2 linked regions of the Styela clava genome follow. The protein of the gene in region 2 purifies or fractionates together with the protein of the main gene of each other region. This does not show direct contact. Links are inferred from orthologs where the notes say so. Each region holds a gene or a part of one and is shown on either strand. Other genes may lie near its edges.

The links.
Region 1: the proteins of succinate dehydrogenase [ubiquinone] flavoprotein subunit, mitochondrial-like (region 2) and succinate dehydrogenase assembly factor 2-B, mitochondrial-like purify together in Homo sapiens (co-immunoprecipitation; 3 studies listed by BioGRID and IntAct, counting the BioPlex papers as one, with this or other methods). This does not show direct contact. The link is inferred for Styela clava from reciprocal best matches to the Homo sapiens genes SDHA and SDHAF2.

The regions. Positions count from the first base shown.
Region 1 is NC_135257.1:3,690,570-3,700,089, forward strand, and holds succinate dehydrogenase assembly factor 2-B, mitochondrial-like, read right to left. Parts: upstream 3,553-9,520; coding exon 3,079-3,552; downstream 1-3,078. Other genes in the region: tRNA (guanine-N(7)-)-methyltransferase non-catalytic subunit wdr4-like, read right to left, coding at 1-844.
Region 2 is NC_135261.1:7,413,749-7,425,614, reverse strand, and holds the start of succinate dehydrogenase [ubiquinone] flavoprotein subunit, mitochondrial-like, read right to left. Parts: upstream 5,123-11,866; 5' UTR 5,021-5,122; coding exon 4,961-5,020; intron 4,136-4,960; coding exon 3,884-4,135; intron 3,572-3,883; coding exon 3,516-3,571; intron 777-3,515; coding exon 689-776; intron 1-688. UniProt on the Homo sapiens protein: Flavoprotein (FP) subunit of succinate dehydrogenase (SDH) that is involved in complex II of the mitochondrial electron transport chain and is responsible for transferring electrons from succinate to ubiquinone (coenzyme Q).

The DNA.
Region 1 (9,520 bases), on a different chromosome or scaffold from region 2:
AACATTTTTTAGCATCCAGCTTGAACACTGACAAGTTTTTCATGTTTGTTTGAGAAGATGCAACTGTGAAATATCCACCATCAGCAGATATAGTTATAATAGATGGTACATATTGAAATTGTGAAGATGCATTTTCATTCCCTTGATTACTAACAGATTGATCCTCAAAAACATGCTTACACAATTCTTTACCAGCAACAGCATCCCATAACCGTACAGATCGATCGCCCGAAGATGATATAAACAAAGTTCTGGATGCGTGAGGAACAGGTTCAACTTTGCAAACAAACTCCGCATGACCTAGGCAAAATTCTTCAATAATGTAAGGATTCTTAACTTCACTAACTCTTATTTTTTCATCACGATCAGCAGAAATAATGTATTTGCCATCACAACTAACTTTCACGTCTAATAGCATGGAAACATGACCAAGAATAGGTTCAATTTCTTTGGTTTCAAAGTCCATACCTTTGTGTTCAGTCTGCAGATCATATTTGTATAAATCACCCGATTTGTCTGCTATGAATAAGACATTCCCACTGTGGTCAAAGCACATAGCAGTAGGACGTCTTTTAACTTTAATTTCTTTGGCAGATTCCCATTCAGTTGGGTCCAAGACCACAATTCGTTTATCGGAGTACATTGCACAAATATATTTTCCATCGCTTGTACAACACAAGTCTTCAAGTCTATCATCCAATGGTTTATTATTCCCATCTGTGACTGAGTTGTCAAATTCATGTGTATATGTGTACAAACACTGTCCTTTTTCCAAGGAAAATACTTTTAGGAGGTCTTTTGATGCGACTGATAAAAATGATTCTGAGCAACAAATTTTAGCCATTTTCAAACTTGTTACATGTTACTCTTAGTTTCCCACTTTTTCTTGGTTTCAAACCTGAACATAAATATCTTATTAATAGCAAATATCTTATTATTACCACTATTGAAGTAGAACATCACACTGTTGTAGAATTTTAAAGGAATGTGAACAACATGTAAAGCAATTATTAACTTCAACCATAGAAACATGTTAGTTAGAAGTGTTATCTCTAGGAAGTACTCTGCCTCTTTATGAGTCAGGGTTACCAATGCTGCTTTTAGACAAAATATCGTCATTCATGAACATGAGTTAGTTACACTGAATCAGATATCAGTTTTTCACATGAAAACAAAAGTATATCTTTCCCCATCTTGAATCTACTTACCTGAAGATCAAATCACACTGAACAACTTGAAACTGAATCTTTGAAAAAGTCAAAATTTGGAAGCAAGCTTTATATACTGGCTATATAAACGTACCCCCAAGCAAGTTTCTTTTTCTTTCTTCTTGCTTTGTCTTCCTCTTTTGCACACTTTCTTTTTAAGTAATCTCTTGCAACAACAGCTTTAATTTCACGAAGTTGAAGCTCAGTTTGGCTCAATTGATCACTCAACTTATCAGCCTCAGTTACATTCCCTTGTCTTAGACATTGGTTCAACTTTTTCTTCAAAACCAACTAGCAATTGAAAACAAAACGTCGAATTGAACCATTTTAGTTAATATTCCTGTTATTTGGTATAGATCCAAAAGAGTTTGGTGTAACCAGATGTTATCAACAAAAAATATATAGATTCTTATGCATATCATTGCTTGAAAGTATCCTATGCTCCGTTACACATGAATCTCACAAATTTAAAAAAGTATAACTTACTTGCTGATTTTTTAGGTCTCCCTCAGAGTGAGAGAATGTAGAAGTAGAACTTGATGACTCTCTAAAGATAAATGTGAATTAGCATTATGATAATAATTTCATGAGTTATTTGAAAGGGCTAAGTTGATATATATAACCTTATGTAAAGATTGACAGGTATCCCTACTACAAGGTAAATGTAATATACCAGTCACTGCTACTAAATGAACTTTGATTTTTTGGAGTAGGAACAAATTTTACTGAATTTCAAAAAAGCAAATCTTGAAAATAACAATTTGAGAATTCTCCATGACATTTAATGACAGCACTGCAGTATAAAACAAAATTTATTCATACCTCAGAAGTTGGACCAGAATTAGAGAAAAACCTGATACAATGGAACTAACATGTAATATCTAATTTTCATCCAAATTATATACATGAACCTACATTAATTTGACTCCGGATGAAGATGTTTCCCTCTCAACATATACTTGATCTGTTAACTTTTCAAGACCCTGTATCAAATATATATAATGACATCATTAAACAAACTCTAGCCTAAAAAAGAGTTTGATATAATCATTGTTTTTATAGTCACTTATGGTTATTATAATATGAATTTTACAGATATTAATGATTATGTCAAACTTTCATTGGAAAATTACCACATGCTTGAATATTTCATGAATGCATGGTTAATTACTCATGTGAAATAATCTCTAAAATAGAAGCATTTTATACAGAAAAATTGAAGTGTCGCCAAACCTCTTCTTTATTTAGTTGTTCCCTCAATTTTAGTACCCTGGCAGTGAGAGTACCAGGGAGTGATTTGGAAGAAATGCCTTTATCTTCGATAATTGAACTATCACTATCAGATGAATCAATTTCTTCAAGATCTTTTAACATTTAGTATTAACTCTCTATAAACACAAAAAAATAAGCAAATCGTAATATTTTAACATTTATCATTCACCAAAATACAAATCGAAATTATATTACTGTAATATAAGAACAAGATATCATCAGAAATTAATAAAACAATTATTAAATAAAAAAATTTGAAAATCAGTATTTTGAAATGATGTTTAACAGTTAACAAATGCTTCACTACTATATTCCAATCTTTTTAAACAATTTCAACAATATCAACATTTTATTACAAATGTCGAATCAATTTTGAAAATGCAGAACAAACCAGAAACCATTAATAACAAACATATTTTAGGTATTTTAGAAATCTCTGAAGACACCCCATGTCTAACGTTAGAAAAGATGGAGCATGACTTCGATTCACGATGGATGAATCACCAAATTCCAAGTAATCAAGTCATCCTAGAGCAGTTCACTGTTTCATAATTCCCAGCAAGCCAATTCAAAAATACACTAAGATATGACATAGATCTCAAACCTTTTTATCAATAGGTTCATAATTTAATGGAGGTTGTTCAAATCGTTCAGATTTCTCCTCATTTTTACAATGCTTTTGCAAAAGTTGCATAATTTCATTATCAAATTCTCTTGGGATAGATCTCGCACCAGTCATCCAATAGTACATATCCCAGTCATTATCCGCCGTGTTCAATAATTTATCATACATAATCAACTGATCTGCTGTTAAGTCATTTAGATACTTATCAGCAAAAGTACTGAAAAGTAAACAGTTTTCAGCAATTCCCCTTTTTCTACTTTGCCATGTGAGTCTTGCTCTTTTCTTTACCAAAGATTCTTGTGAATCTTTGGGCTTGTATGTCGGATAAGAAATATCTCGCAGATCGCTATCTTCGGCTGGGACGGTATCTTTGCTCGTAAATCTTTGAATAACAGTGTGTAAGGCACCTCTACTCCTGTGTACCAACAAGGAATAAGCACACTGCATTGCAAATCCACTCAAAGCAACAGTAAAAATTATATTCAATTTAGCGAATGATACAACTTCTAACGTTCATTCAGTAATTGGCAGACTAAGGTATACCAGAATACTGTCAGACTGTAATGGGAAAAAATGCTCAGCATACTGGCATAGGTAATTCTGTAATTAGGCCTAAGAATGTAACTTAGCAAAATCTGGACGGCACCTACCTAAATGGAATCAATTTTGGGAAGGCAGAAAGGCATTTTTTCATCCTGGCATTTGTAAGATGTACGGTAGTCTAACTAAAGCATACCATCAAGTAGGCTCTTAAAGTGATCTGTGAGAGAAAACTAGGGCTCCGTTAGCTATTCACCTAGATACCGGTATTTAACGCCAGAATTATCTTTCGTGTCTTTTTCTAAATTTGTTGATGTGTTGTTTGGGGTAAGTGGGCACGTGCATCATCACGTCTTAAATCTTTTTGGGATTTTGCCCACTTTCCCGATTTTCCGTATATTTGTTTGTTATCATTGTTTTGTTGTAACGGAAATAAACTAGCTTACTTACACTTACTATTCGTTTACTTATTAAAATACTGACTCGGCTAACTTTGTACCAGTATCTGTCCAAGGAAGCAATAACGGCAATAATAAAAGTTGACAACGGTAGCATTGAACTGTGGCAATTACCGTAAATATGACGGCGGTAATTCAAATATGACATCACATTATAATATCACATTTCGAAATCGAATCAAACAGTAACACTTACTTATCATATTCAGTTACCGCTTTGTTGCCACATTTCAACACCACTTAAGTTGAAATCTTTGTCCAGAGTCAAATTTTCAGCGTTAATATAATTTATATGTGGAATTTAATTTTATTTCTAGCTTGTATCAACCCTATTAAGAACGGTTTAATATTTAAATTCTTTATATTTTTCATTCTATACATACAAAAATTTGATGAATGAGCGATGCTTAATTTAAATGTGGCTTGTCCCTTGTAGCTCTTTTCGGTTAGAAGCATCTGGCAACTGCTCAATTTATCATTCACGCATGTTAGTTAGTGTCTTCGGTCTGTTCCTGCTCTCTCTTTCTTTGCCGGAATGACCATCACTGACCAAACGCGGCACTCTTCATGAATCATTGTCTCCAGTCCTGCGCCATTCTGAGCAACTCAGCCAGAATAATCCCACCCAAGGTGTCCGACATTCTTGGTCTTCCACGTCTTTTTTGCCCAGGGTTGTACTAAAGAGCATATCTTTTGTTACGCCGTCTGTTCTGGCCACATGTTAAGAAATCATAATTTCCTCTTATTGATGTTGTCCAGCAGTCTTTGGCATGGTCCAATCTTCTCCGGCACCCATTCGTGTGTCCACCCAGTCTACATGAAGAAGTCTATGGTAGCACCACAATTTAAAAGCAGCAATTTTCCTCCTGTCGACATTTTGAGAATATAATTTCAAATTCTAGAATGTTCCTCCCCAATATTTTAGTCATCTGAAACTGTGGATCTTAAACATAATAGCTTGAAGGGGGGAGTTGACTTTGATGACCGTCTGGTCGTATCACTCCCTCCTGTCTATACCAAACTAATTTATTTCTTATTGGTATTTTTATTATTATTTATTATTAGGATGACTGTTATTTTTGGTTGACGAAAAAATAAATATCTTTCTCTCTCTCTCCTGTTCCTCTTGGAAGGTCGTATATCTGTTGCATTTTCAGTACCTAGTTTAATTTTCGTAGATTGTGTCTAACAGCGTAGGCATAAATATATAAAAAAAATTGCAAATATTGTTTTTACCCTTTACAATATAAAAATCGTAAAGATAAACGAAAGCAAGTCAACTGCAAATGACTCATGTGTAACTGCTGCAGTGGTATCGTGTTCGCAATCGAACTTAAACAATAAGAAAACTATTGAAGATTTTAAGAAAATAAAATATAATGAAAATTAATTTTTGGCTTCATATGGACGGATGATGAGAAAGAGTTAAATGAGCTTCGTGTAAAATGTGGAACTGTTTTTTCAAACGGCATTCAGAAACAAATCACTCCCAACTTAAAAATAGAAACATCGGTTTTATTTAAAAATGAAGAACCAAGAACTAAATGAAAGGGAAAATATGTTTCCAAGGCTTGTCTGTGAAGATCACAAAAACGGACTCAGTCTTTTTTATTTTTAGTTTTTGAATGAATAACACAACAAAGAGAGGCTCACACAATAGCTGAAAACCTAATAAAATCGTGTGCAAAAGATTTAGTTGAGAGCATGATAAGCAAAAATTATGTTCGCAAAATAGAGGCCGTACCTCTTTCAAACAGTACAGTTTCCAGGCAGTTTTTCTCCTCAAATGGACAAAGGATTTAGCTATAGGTCTATTACCTGTATTCGTTCATTACATCTATAATTTTGAGACTAAAGAAAACCTACTTTTCAGCAAACCTTTACAAACTTACACGACAGGCGATATATATATATATTTTTACTGATTCAATCTTTTTTTGAGGATCATGATATATTATGGAAAAACTGTCCAAGAGTGTGTACAGATGGTGTGGCAGCAATGTGGGGTAAATGTTCTGGAGTTATGGCTCAAATAAAAATTTGAAAAACTGTTGACATTCATTGTCTCATTCACCGACATGCCCTGGCAGCTAACCGGATGCCTCCTGATTTAGTTGAAGTGCTGGGAGATGTGACAAAAATTGTTGGCTCTATTGAAGCTAGGCCACTCAATTCCATAATTTTTAAATTGCTGTGTGAAGATATATGAAAAACTCACAGAACGTTATTGTTACTTACTGAAGTTCGCTAGTTGTTGAGAGAGACGGTGTTGGCAAGATTTTATGAGTTGCATGAAGAGTTTTTCATTTTTTTAAAACAACACGAGTTTGCTGTTAAATGCAGTGCAGTGACTTTATTCGTTGGCGTTGTTTGGCAGATATTTTCCCTAACTTGAATGAAGTAAATATTTTGTTACAAGGAAATAAAGTAACATATTTCAAAGCTCAAGGTCCCATCCTTGGAGGAAAGCACGAATGCTTGAATGAAATTTATGTGAATATATTCTTTCGAACCAGCTTGTTTTGCAAATAAAAAAGTAAATATGAAAGTCTCTATCTCCCAGTATCTAACGAATATAGCTGAATTTATTGAAAGGTATTTTATCATCAACGCTGGTAACTTTCTTTGGATTCAGAACTCATTTCATGCTTTCCCTAACGTGGCAACCCTCTCATTAAAAGAACAGCTGGTTGATAAATCACCGAACTTGGAATTGACGAGCAAGTTTAAAGAAATAGAACTCACACAGTTTTGGATCATACTGATGAAAGAATTCAATCACTCGAAGCTCCAAAAGTTCTGATAAGATTTCCTATACCGCCTATCTGTGTGAGAAAAATTCTTGTTGTCTGCAGAAACAAAAACTAAATATAGAAACCTCCTCATGCAAGTCCGGTTAGGTCATCGAGGATCATGGCCCATGTGTGTAAGCTGTATATATGTAATCATTCAGAAACTGCATCTGCGATGAAAAACGGATAAAATAGAATTAAAAAAAATTGATATATATGTGGGAGTCAGCAATTCGCCATTGTAAAGTTAATACTGCAAGTCGTGATCTTAATAGGTCACTTGAAGTTTTTGAGTCCCAGAGAATTATGACAGTTATCAAGAGTTTAATTTTTACAATTATTGGACACGTAGTGGACATAACGATCGTTTCAATATTATGTTGTTGTTGTTGTTCTTTGACACGTTTTTAAAAAGTCGCTTTTCTCTTCGAATACTGGACCAATTGCTTTGAAATTTTCAGTGGTTAAAGATAAAAATTTTCTCCAGAAGGCTATTACTTTTTTTTTCGCTATGACGTCATCAAAATTATGTGACTCTACGTGTCCAAATATTTGAGCATAGCTCTCTTGTTTATAATGGCTTTTGATTCAGTTTTTTTAGAACTCATTATTGAACAATAATCGTAAACATCACAATCATTACAGAGTGATAAAACGAGAATTTGTGTCATAAAAGAGGGAATAAAACATTCCATTATACGTAAAGTTGGAAGAGGCCTAAGACCTTCAGTATACAGTTTTGATATGTGAAGCAATTGAACTTATAGTATTATACATTACTACATGCATATTAACATGAGGTATTGATAAAGTTGACAAATTTGAGTGTTTCAGTAAGAAAAAAAAACTATGTGAAAATATGCACACGACTTTTTTTGGTTCCAGGTGGAACACTGCCCCAAACCTATACACCTACATACTTCAAAGATGTTTTTTCCACCTCAGTAGACACTTGTGAGAACGTGTGTAACTCTTGTTTATTTGAGACCTGGGGCGGTGACTATGAACGTTTTGTAATGGGGTGAAATAATGGTTAAATTTTCATACCGATGCATGAACTTTGCAAATTCTAGTGTATTCATATTCGAGAACTGTAGGAATTCATACTGACGGTAAAGCTGCAAATTATTTACACGACTTTTCTTTCCAAATGTCATGCACCTTAAAACTTTATTTTGCAGAACATGAATTGGCTGTAAGGAAGACCTTGTTGCTGAACCCCAACTAAGTAGTCGCGAGTGGAATAAACTAAAATATTCTAATTTAAGTGTTTCGCAGTTCAGAATGTGCCCTAATCTGTGAAATATTCCTAGAGTTTGCGTAATTTCTTTCATGCCTGAGCTATGTGGCTTCCAACTCAATTCGTCATCAATTGTTTAACCAAATATTCAACGGTTTTGCTTTGTTAAATTATATTACTGCCAGAGCCTACTCCAAAGTTGGTAATAGCATGTTTTTTTATTATTATAGAACAACATATATTTTGTTTTAAAATAATTCTGGGATAAATTATTTGCTCTACCTCTAGTAGAATCTAGACCAGGGGTGGGCATGGTTTTCAAATCAGGGGCCAAAAATTTTACCTACTCAGTCTGGCGGGCCATGTCAGTGTGACATGAAAGGTTAGACGTACCCGCGGGGCGTACTTTAACCATGTCTGGTCTAGACCAGTGGTGCACAACTCAAATGAGGATATGTGCCAAATTTTTCAAAATAATTTTGTCGCGTGCCACGCACAATTTTTGGTATTGTAAACAAATTCCCGTATAACATATATCAAACAAACTTCAATGATAATACATAATAACGAATATCTATTTATTGAAACGATTTGATCCCGTGTAAAACCGCTGATTTGAAGACGTTTTTGTTGGACCAAATTTGAAATGTTGAGCTTCAAGGGAGAAATAGCGATTCGCATCACTGAATCTATATGCTCATCTAGTAAACGAGTCCGTAGCTGGAATTTGTTTATTTTCATGATTGAGAATGCCTGTTAACAACTGTACGTGCTTGCAAATTAACAAATCCAGACTTTTGAATTTCTCAACAAAACTGGATAATTCTCTTCTTCGAGGCGAGAGTAGAACTCAAGTACTGAATTTTGTTAAAAAAACATCCTGCAAAACATGGTTTGACCTCAAATCCAGAAGTTCCAGTTGAGCGTCCGCGTCTTCAATATATTCAACATCCACACTCAATGGTCTTTGAAATAAATTCATTTGCCCCTTCCAGTCATTATAATCTTGAAAGCGTCTTGAAAAGATTTGACGACGGGGACTCCATATTATAGCATACTTCTCAAAGTCAGGAACCAAGCTTTTTTCCTGTGAAAATATTTCAATTTCTTCAAAAAGGCTAAGAAAGTGCTGCAAAAGTTTCCATCGACTTAACCAGCAAGCTTGAGAGTGATGCACTAAGTCCTTGTATTGTGTTTTCATCTCCAACAAGAATGCTCGAAATTGGCGGTGCTTCAATCCTTTCGACAGAATTTCATTCACACATTTTACAACAACGTCCATAACATGAGTCATCTTTATACATTGAGCACAAAGAGACTCTTGATGAATGAAGCAGTGAAAAGTAATATTGTCCTGAGTAAAATCAGATTATTGCAAGTACTTT
Region 2 (11,866 bases):
TAATTTGTCTGCTACTGCCAACCTAGTATCAAACTTTAAAAAGTGATAGTGACATTAGAGATGGCCAAAAACGAATAAGCATCCATCTACAAACCATTCTGAAACAAGAGAGCGATGCTCAAATGTATGGGCACGAAGAACAAAATGAAAGTAGCATCAAACGTTTAACAGTGCCACCAGTCTCATTACAAGATCACTGAATTGTGATCACAGAACCACAGTACAGTGCTAATTTTTTATTTTGATGACGTCATCCCTGTCACACAAAAATAAAAGTGAAAATCTAACTCCATATAGCCCATAGAAGTTTTGTGAATAAATAAATGTAATAGCCTTATAGCGACAACAACAATCTTCAACCATTGAAAAATTCGAATCAATTTGTCCTGTGGAGGGTATTCCTCTTGTAAAGATTGAATTTAGTATTTGGAAATATAGACATAAACATGATTATAACTGATTTTCTATCTAGTGTCAAAAGATTACTGAAGTTTTTGAAAAATTTTCAAATTGAATATTTAACATTCTTTCTAAAATCAAGACTTTACTATATAAAATATAACAAATTTGAAGCGTCATCATAATATTCGATTCGTGTTGAATATGGATGAAAAATAACATCTCACTGTCTTGGTCTGTATCATAGCTAATTCAAGTCAGATTTTATGATAAAACAATATTTTTATACCTCAATAACTGCTGCAGGAGCCTCTTTTGTCATATAATGAATTGCATCTTGATCTCCAAGCCAATCTGATCCTTTTACTGTGTCATACCTGGAAAATTATTGAGTCATGTTAGAGTAAGCGAGTACATGTAGATTTAAGTAAAGAGAAAATTTCCACAAGGTGTTGGACATCCTGAACTACAATCCTGACAAAGCATCCGCACCACAACCGTTGTCGAATAAACTATACATTTTGAAACTACGGTACTTACGTATGAATAGAGATGCTCGGTGAGAATTCGAATCATATTGGAAGATCTATTACCAAATTTGGGTTCAAAAGAATCAGTAATCAGTAATCAGTAGTTTATTTCTCACCATACTTAAAATAGGCACAAACATACAAATTGCAATAAATTAAAATATAAATTGGCCATATTTCAGGGTGAAGGAGACGCGAGAAACCAATACTGGTTATCGAGCAGCGGCACCTATAAAATAAGTCTAACACTATAATATAAAAAACAAAAAAACGAACTAAGTTTAAATAAATTGAGGAAAAAAATACATAAAATATCTCGAGACGATCTGCTGTAACCAGCAATCGCTCGCTTCAACCAAAGTGACTATAATAGTCACTTAGGCTTCAACAAAAGAAAAGACAACTCCGAACACCACTGATTCGGTAGCCATGGAGATGGCGTTAGTGGATTGTATCACAACAATACTATTGTGATGCCCATTAGCTAACAATGGGCAATAAATGTCAAATTCTGATGGCGCATGGTTATTGGTTACAGTGGAACCCATGGTTTGCTGAGGGCGACAACAGGATCACCAACGAATAAACCATACCTTTATGCTAGAAAGGAATTGAGGTACCTGTTTGTTAATGGGATCTAGTGATTGGCAGCTGGAGTCAGGGCTTCACATAACGTTACAGGAAATATAAAATCAGGGAAGACATGAAATATCAAAATGTGAAAGATATTCCATAACAGTCATTCAAAACGAATGTAACCTAGTATCAACATTCACACTGGGAAACTAGATAGACTACTAGACATGAAACAGCAAAACTAAGAAGAGTCAAGTACCGTAGTCTAATAGTTGAGTGAACCAATGAAGCAAAGTTTAAAAGTACATAAAAAAATATTATTTGTCAGGTAATACTTTTACAATGTTATATAAGAGTATAATGACAATCAGATAAACAATTTGGGCTTTACTGACTGCAAGAGAAAACAAGTCACGATGTTATGCTAATTAACCAAGATCTTGAGCAGATGGGCTTAGAATTTCAATGTGGTTAAATTCCATGAATTCGTACAAAGCTTCATGAACCATCTCAAACATAAGAAAAGTAGTTTACTATATTGTGCAGGTTACGAACAAATACAGGTCATGCAATTAGCATGGCACACTTTACATAATTCAAATCACTGGCAAGAATGCAATAAGATGAGGACATGAAAAAATTGAAAAAAAGTATTATTATTACAGGTATAGGCCTAGCAGAGCAAGCGAGTGCTGAGGCCACATCATTTGGATGCAATCACAGCAGACTGGTAAGGTGACAGCAAGAATTTTTTATATTTTGTTTTGAAAGTTTCATAAGAAGAGTCACGTAAGATTTGGGGAATACTATTCCAAATTACAACACCCTTATACTTCAAGGAGTTTAGGGACTTGCTTAGCGAAAATCTGGGAACAAAAAAATTCGATTTTGTCGAAGAGCGTGTGTTATGCTCATGCACATTACTGAGAACAGTGAAATAATCAGCGAAAGCTGCAGGCAATTGGTTGTTGTGGAACTGGTGCATAATCTTAGAAATTTCTAATTTATAGATGTCAGACAATTTTAGCACCCTGGCTTTATGATATAGGGTGTTTATGTTTGAACGAACTGGTGCTCCGGAGAGAATTTTAACAGCCCTATTTTGTAAAATCTCTAATTTACGCAAGCTAGTTTGAGTAGCGGAGCCCCATGCAGCTAAGGCGTATTGGATATGTGATTGAAAAAGAGCAAAGTAAATAGTCCGCAGAGTTGGGCTCGGCACATAATACTTGAGTTTTCCCAGAATCCCTACTGATCTGGAGAGTTTCTTGTACATTTCAGTGATGTGGCTGTTCCATTTGAGTTGATGGTCAATATGAAGCCCAAGATATCTATAAGACTGGACGATTTCTAGTGGAATACCATTAATTTTAATTGAAAGACTTGAATTTCTAGTCCGGCTTTTAGGGCTGAATAACATGACTTTGGATTTTTCCACATTTACAGTGAGTTTATTGCATATCATCCACTCATATACTTTATTAATTCCAGTGTTCACTTTGGCTTGGAGTGTGATCAAATCCTTCGCACTATCGAGAAGGCAGGCATCATCGGCAAACAATTTTGTCAGGAAATTAGAGCTGTTCGATAAATCGTTTATAAAAAGTAAGAAACCAATGTTACTTTCAGAATCTTGTTGAAACATAATTCCTAATGAGAGCTAGTAGCCACTTGACTTCCAACTTCAATATCAAAAAGTCAGAACAGAGTCAGAAAACTTGAAATCAACTCCAGACTGACAAAGATTTGACTAGAACTACTACTATCACAAAATTTACACTATTATCACAGTTGAAAGTATGAAATTCCAAGTCTGGGGACAAAATTTTTGACTTTGACTCCAGAACATGGGCAGTTTTTAAATATAACATCAGGTCCAACTCCATGGCAAACTTGGATTCCTGGTTTCAGACCTAATAAGAGCTTTCCCCATCAAAAATCTCAATAATTTATCCCTACATGTATCTCAAAATGGTTAAAAATAAAAGATGAAGAATGAATAAGTCTCACATGTGCCATTTCCAATTATCTTCTTCCATGTTACCAAGAGCTGCATTTATGCCACCCTGTCAGAAAGAATAACAAGATTCGTTATTGATATGATACAATCACTAGTAAAACAAATACACTGGAACCAGGGTAAGAACTAAGGGACACGAACCTCCGAACTACATGAAATATCACATCTTGATAACAGAAGTTCAGAATGTACAGGTTCTCTACACTGTTAATAAGAACGCTTAATAATATTAGTGCTTTTTGAGTTCCAGTGGTTAGTTTTGAAATACTTTAGCAACATAGAGAGTCTGCAATTCCGATTACGCGAAAAACATGTCGAACCTGGTAGAAACCAAAAAAATGGAAAAAAGGACTCAAACCTGAGCAGCCACTGTGTGAGATCGCGTTGGGAATAGTTTCGTGACGCAAGCTGTTTTGAAGCCAGCTTCTGAAAGTCCAAAAGCAGCTCGAAGACCAGCGCCCCCCGCTCCAACAACAACAGCATCGTATGTGTGGTCTATGACTGGATACTCATTCGACATCTGATCTCGTTTAACAAGTGTATTTGTCTTGCTTGAAGTGTGGAACTGATTATCTAATCCAGTCGTAATGCATGGTAGTACATTCAGACCCTTGAAAAATTAAACATTTTGGGTGAATAAATCATCTTATATACATATTTAACTTATACTTTATACATATAAGTTTATTCAATTATAAAATTTTCCGTAGTAGGCATGATGACCTAGTGTTCAAAGGGCTGGACATTAAATTGACATCACAAGTTAAAAATCTCAGGTTTGAATCCCATTCCCACAAAGTCACCCAGAGTGTGATGAATTAGTAGGCGTTGTCAAACTGGAAAGACCAATTGTGAAATATAGTAGCTTTACCTAGCAGACGTTGCTTGGGGTATAGTATAGTACCACAAGTACTTCCGGTGAGCGTAGCATAACAAATTTCGCATTTGTTATTCCCGACCCCCACCTGACTATGCCATCCAAAAGATATGTCACTACGACATCACAATCACACAACCATCCATGCATTTTGGAGGTCTTTATTACGCCACTATGATGTCGTAGTAGTGTAATTTTTTGGTGACGTAGTCAGGTGGGGGTTAGGAATGACATATGCAAAAATTGTTGAGCCAGGCCAACTAGAAATGCGTGTGGTACTAAACTATACCAGACTCGTTGATTGTCCAGAGCCATTATCGGAGTGATAGGGCGTATAAATATATCATAAAAATAAACAAGCTGACTGTTAGTGGTAAAAATATACTGAAAAATTAATAGTGTGATGCCTAATTGTCATAATAAATTCTGCATTTCTCAATTTGTAATATTAAAAGCTATCAAATCATTTGAAATTCTAGATATCTGAATATTAAAATTAGTGGCAGTACAATTTAAAAACTTCATATTTGAATGGAATTGAACATTTTCAATACTTACTGTCGATCTTGTTAAACCCACAGCAGTCTTTGATGTTATTCTTAACAGTGACGATGCCATAATTTTGGCGGAACTGATAAATGTTAGTCTATACAAAATATGATCTGTGAAGAGCAGATTAAAAGAAGGCCTGAGACTTTGACATTTAATCTCTACTCTTTCATGTTTACCCGTATTGAGGGAGGCGGACGAATCGACTGCACGGACAACTCATCAGAGATAGCCTATAAAAGACATCATCAGCAAAAAACAAAGTCGAACCCAAAGATTGAAACCTTGTCGTGATGAGTTGACCTACACCTGATGTCAGTCGGCACTAACGCCAGTCGATAAGCAAGTACATTACCGTACGCAGTTACGTGAGTTGTCTGTCTCTCGAGCATCGATGTCCAACTTCAAAGTCCCCCTTGCCTCATCCTTCCTGTTAACCCTGTCCCGATTTCCCCTGTCTAAAACAGATTGCTGAGATAATATGGTGAACGGATCATTTTTCCATGTCGCCAACTACCTACTGTCCATTTGAAAAAGCTTGAAAATCCATACAAATATAAGAGATAAAAAGATGAAACTTGGCAGGTGGGTAGAGTTCTGTTTCTTTTAACCATCTTTGAAGTTTCGCGTTTCTACATTTAAAGGAGGGGGAATAGGGGGGTGCGCATTTCCAATACGTCGATAATAGCATTGTCAGATTGTCGACCAATTTGCGACCACCGTGTTTTTGTTTGTTTGATTGCTGTAATGCGGTGCTTTGTTTAAAATTTGACGAGTTTTGTTCGAAATAACCTTGTTCTTAAAATATATGACAGTCAGATATGCAATTAGAAGCTAATTTTTTTGACGCATGGCTGCGTATGCCCTAGTCTCGACGCAGCAGAAATGATGTTCAAGGCTTGAAATCCGTGGTCGCACACTGGTCGTTCGATCGCAAATAGGCCTTCAGAGTGTCGTACTATGGTGGTTTGTATAGCTTTAACACCTGGTCGTAGAAAGTTAATTCGAGGTTTAGAGTGTAGAAGAAATACCCATGCACCTATGGTGAAAAAATTAACAGGTTATAAATATTGGTTTTTGTTTTATAGCGGTTTGAATGAAATCGTCTGCAGACTGGCTACACTACCCTACTTCTAGTTAGCCTGACTCAAGCATATGTCAATCCTAACCCCCATCTGATTATGTCGCCAGAAAAATACGTCATTTAAACGTCACAGTGGTGTAATAAGGCCCACCAAAGTATACGGATGGTCGTCCAAAACGCCCAGAAGATCACCCAAGCTATTTCTCTCGTTTTCTCGTCACAACGATCGCCATAGGAGAGGGATCGCCGGCGTTAGGGAGTTCGTTATCGGCGGCGCAGATGCCATTTCGGACGATCGTATTATACTTAAGCAACCCCCATGACAGTATGACGTGATGGTGACGTAATTTGGGTCTCGTGTAGTTTTGTACCTAACGTACTTCTAGTGGGCGTAGCATAACAATTTTTTGACATGTCAATCCTAACCCCCACCTGACTACATCATCCAAAAATTACGTCACGATCACGTTATAGAACTTGCCAAATACACGTACGATCGCCCGAAATGACATCGGCGCCGACGATAAAGAACTAACTAACGTCAGCGATCCTATCGGGATCGTTGCGACGAGAAATATAGCTGTTCGATTTCAGGTTCTCGTCTGCGCGTCTTGGGTGACAGTTTGTATAGTTTGAAGGGCTTTATTATGTCACTGTGACGTCGTAGCGACGTAATTTTTGGATGGGGTAGTCAGGTAGGATTGATAGGTGAAGGATAGGTAGGATGTTAGGATTGATAGGTGAAAAAATTGTTATGCTACGCCCTCTAGAAGTACGTTAGGTACGAAACTACACGAGACCCCACTCAAACAATAAAAACATCCTATTGACCAATATTAGAATATCCAAACCCGTCATACACCATAAAATCAAAAATAAACACTCTTGGTACCGGTACCCTTCTCAAGAACTAACATTAATTAACCAGACACAAGATAAACCTAAAACACTAAATATCCAACTAAAACAACCACAACTGTACTGCTGCAAACCACAGCTTAGGCTGATGGGACACCAGAGGACAGATGGACAACACTAAAAGGCTGAAGGAAGAAACGGATGAGGTGGAGGGAAAACGGAAGTTGAAGTGTTCCCAAAGGTGAAAATTGAAAAACACTAAAAAGCTGAACACTAAAAGTAAGAAGTGGATGAAATTTCTTCCGACGGGTAGTTAGGTGGCTGAAGTCACTGAAAAGCTGAACACTGAAAAGAAGAGATGGAGGAAATTTTTTCCGACGAATAATGAGGTGGTTGAAGTCACTAAAAAGCTGAACACTAAAAGGAAGAAGTGGATGAAATTTCTTCCGACAAATAATGAGGTGGTTGAAGTCACTAAAAAGCTGAACACTAAAAGGAAGAAGTGGATGAAATTTTTTCCGACGAATAATGAGGTGGTTGAAGCCACTAAAAAGCTGAACACAAAAAGGAAGAAGTGGATGAAATTTCTTAAGAAGTGGATGAAATTTTTTCCGACGAATAATGAGGTAGTTGAAGTCTCTAAAAAGCTGAACACTAAAAGGAAGAAGTGGATGAAATTTTTTCCGACGAATAATGAGGTGGTTGAAGCCACTAAAAAGCTGAACACAAAAAGGAAGAAGTGGATGAAATTTCTTAAGAAGTGGATGAAATTTTTTCCGACGAATAATGAGGTGGTCGAAGTCACTAAAAAGCTGAACACTAAAAGGAAGAAGTGGATGAAATTTATTCCGACGAATAATGAGGTGGTCGAAGTCACTGAAAAGATGAACACTAAAAGGAAGAAGGGGATGAAATTTCTTCCGACGAATAATGAGGCGGTTGAAATCACTGAAAAGCTGAACACTAAAAGGAAAAAATAGATGAAATTTCTTGCGACGAATAATGAGGTGGTTGAAGTCACTAGAAAGCTGAACACTAAAAGGGAGAAGTGGATAAAAAAATTTCCGACGAATAATGAGGTGGTTGAAGTCACTAAAAACTGTATACTAAAAGGAAGAAGTGAATGAAGTTTCTTCCGACGAATAATACGGTGTTTGAAGTCACTAAAAAGATGAACAGTAAAAGGAAGAAGTGGATGAAATTTCTTCCGACGAATAATGAGGTGTTTGAAGTCACTAAAAAGCTGAACAGTAAAAGGAAGAAGTGGATGAAATTTCTTCCGACGGATAGTGAGGATGAGGAATACTTGAAAATTTAATATATTAGGAATTGGGTAATTTAATGTTTGTTTTGTTCGTATTTATGTGACAATGTCCTCGTGGATTCGTTTTTTGTTAATTTTTTATATGTTATGCTCAGTTCAAGCCTGGCGAATATTGAAGGCAATGACATTCTCGTTATATTTTTTTTAATTTTGATGTAATGTGCAAACAAATTACTATATATATATATATATATATATATATATATATTCATATCTAGCATTTCCTGCCGTATAATGGGTATGTTGCGCCACAATGGGTGGTTACGGCGAGGCATGTTTTGAAATAGATGTCTTGTTTTTCAAGACGCGTGAAGCTGATTTTGTTATCAAATCAATTTTTCCAATCAACAAACCTTGTAATTTATAATATGTTTGTGGCCCCCCTCAAAATGCCTCTGAGGCTTACCAGTGGCCCATGGCCCATTGGTTGAGAACCAGTGGTCTAACAGGACTTCGATTTGACTAATACATCATTATTCAAAGCCTTCGTGCGTGAACTGCTTGCAAAATTTATAAAAACAGATATTAAGTTCAAAGAATGAAATACGGGATCAAAAATTAATTATATTCGGGCACAATACCACGGCAATCTATGTACATAGATGTGTGGTTTACTGCGCGATTATTATTAATTTTTGATACCTATTTTCGTATTTACAAAATACAACGGCGATCCATGGCGGCGACGTTCTGGACATGCTGCGTATAAAAAATATTCGGTATTGGACTATTCGGTATTTGTTAAAAATATTCGAATTATTTGATTCGAAAAAAATATTCGATTTTGCCCACCCTTTTCTTGGCCGCCATAGGAGTATAAAAAACACGAAAAATTGAGAGTCACCGAGAAAGAGCTGCGTGTTTGTCTCTCTCAATTTAATTCCAGCCAGAATAAAATATTGAAACTTATCGAAACAGGCCCAAATATTACATTAAAATACCATTTCTGTTCCTAGCTCTGAATCGGAATATGTGTAACGTCTTTTCCAGCTGAAGTTGACAAGCTATTATTAATTTCGTTAATTTATTTTATTCCGAAATGATCGATGTCAGTTAATTGCATAATATAGTTTATTTCCAAAAATCTCATTTGGTGTTCCGTCACAATTTTAGAATAAAAAAAGTGTTCCGCGATACAAAAAAGGTTGAAAATCACTGGTGTACGAGGTTAGGGATCAGGTTGTGCGACATCTTGGTGCGCGTACTTCAGTAGTACCAATATTTCAATTTCAACGGAGTTTAAATTAAATTTCAATCAAAATTAAATGTTTTCTAGAAGTCGGTATCTGATCGTTTATCAATTCATGTCAAAGCGTACCATAACTTAGTCGCAGAGAAGGTGTGCTGTTGCATATTTTTAACAAAATTGCAACGAACTTTCGGGTATACGATTCATTTTAATTTGCGTGTGATAGAAACTTAGGTCATTCAGTAGAATACTCAACTGACAGATTGAAGGAAATTAATTACCCACACAGCACGTCAGCATCTCGAGTGATGATCAGGGTGTGTTGCGCTGAACATGAAAATGAATGAAGGCAGATCGATAAAAGTAAATAACGAAAAATTCAGTTACATTCCCGTCTGGCAATTGGTGTTATTTGGAGTGTTTGTTTTTCTTCGCTAAACGGCTCTCTTTCTTTCGAATCGCGTAAATCAGATTCGAAAAAAATTGCGGTTTGAATCGATTCAATTCATAAATTTAAAAGTGGCATGCCTACTCATCAGTCCGCTGTCAGGGTCTTCATCCAATCTCACTTCCGTCGGGATATGTTTTGGCTATTTAACTCTCCTAATTTTCGGTATTTTAGTGGCTTCAACCGCCTCAAAATCGATAGGACAAAATAACATCTAACCCTAACGTACTTCTTGCTTATAGTGTTTAGCTTTTCAGTGACCTCCGCCACCTCATTATTCGTCGGAAAAAATTTCATCCACTTCTTCCTTTTAGTGTTCATCTTTTTAGTGACTTCAACCACCTCATTATTCGTCGGAAGAAATTTTATATACTTCTTCCTTTTAGTGTTCAGCTTTTTAGTGGCTTCAACTACCTCATTTTTCGTCGGAAAAAATTTCATCCACTTCTTCCTTTTTGTGTTCAGATTTTTAGTGGCTTCAACCACCTCATTATTCGTCGGAAAAAATTTCTTCCACTTCTTCCTTTTGGTGTTCTGCTTTTTAGTGACTTCAACCACCTCATTATTCGTCGGAAGAAATTTCATCCACTTCTTCCTTTTAGTGTTCAGCTTTTTAGTGACTTCAACCACCTCATTATTCGTCGGAAGAAATTTCATCCACACTTTCCTTTTAGTGTTCAGCTTTTTAGTGACTTCAACCACCTCATTATTCGTCGGAAGAAATTTCATCCACTTCTTCCTTTTAGTGTTCAGCTTTTTAGTGACTTCAACCACCTCATTATTCGTCGGAAGAAATTTCATCCACTTCTTCCTTTTAGTGTTCAGCTTTTTAGTGACTTCAACCACCTCATTATTCGTCGGAAGAAATTTCATCCACTTCTTCCTTTTAGTGTTCAGCTTTTTAGTGATTTCAACTACCTCATTATTCGTCGGAAGAAATTTCATCCACTCCTTCCTTTTAGTGTTCAGATTATAAGTGACTTCAACTACCTCATTTTTCGTCGGAAAAAGTTTCATCCACTTCTTCCTTTTAGTGTTCAGCTTTTTAGTGACTTCAACTACCTCATTATTCGTCGGAAGAAATTTCATCCACTTCTTCCTTTTAGTGTTCAGCTTTTTAGTGACTTCAACCACCTCATTATTCGTCGGAAGAAATTTCAACAATTTCTTCCTTTTGTGTTTAGCTTTTTAGTGACTTCAACCACCCTCATTATTCGTCGGAAGAAATTTCATCCACTTCTTCCTTTTAGTGTTCAGCTTTTTAGTGACTTCAACCACCTCATTATTCGTCGGAAGAAATTTCATCCACTTCTTCCTTTTAGTGTTCAGCTTTTTAGTTACTTCAACCACCTCATTATTCGTCGGAAGAAATTTCATCCACTTCTTCCTTTTAGTGTTCAGCTTTTTAGTTACTTCAACCACCTCATTATTCGTCGGAAGAAATTTCATCCACTTCTTCCTTTTAGTGTTCAGCTTTTTAGTGACTTCAACCACCTCATTATTCGTCGGAATAAATTTCATCCACTTCTTCCTTTTAGTGTTCAGCTTTTTAGTTACTTCAACCACCTCATTATTCGTCGGAAGAAATTTCATTCACTTCTTCCTTTTAGTGTTCAGCTTTTTAGTGACTTCAACCACCTCATTATTCGTCGGAAAAAATTTCATCAACTTCTTCCTTTTAGTGTTCAGCTTTTTAGTGACTTCAACCACCTCATTATTCGTCGGAAGAAATTTCATCAACTTCTTCCTTTTAGTGTTCAGCCTTTTAGTGTTTTTCAATTTTTCACCCTTGGGAACACTTAAACTTCCGTTTTTCCTCCACTTCATCCGTTTCTTCCTTCAGTCTTTTAGTGTCGTCCAGGGCAGATCGACATAGCGCCGTCAGTGTCTTCAATGTTAAAAATACAAAAAATAGCAATATTATCACATGACATCATTTAATTTAAAAGATAAAATAAGCGTGACCCGATGGACCTTTCCCCGACCTTTGACCCTCGGAAAATTCTCCCTAT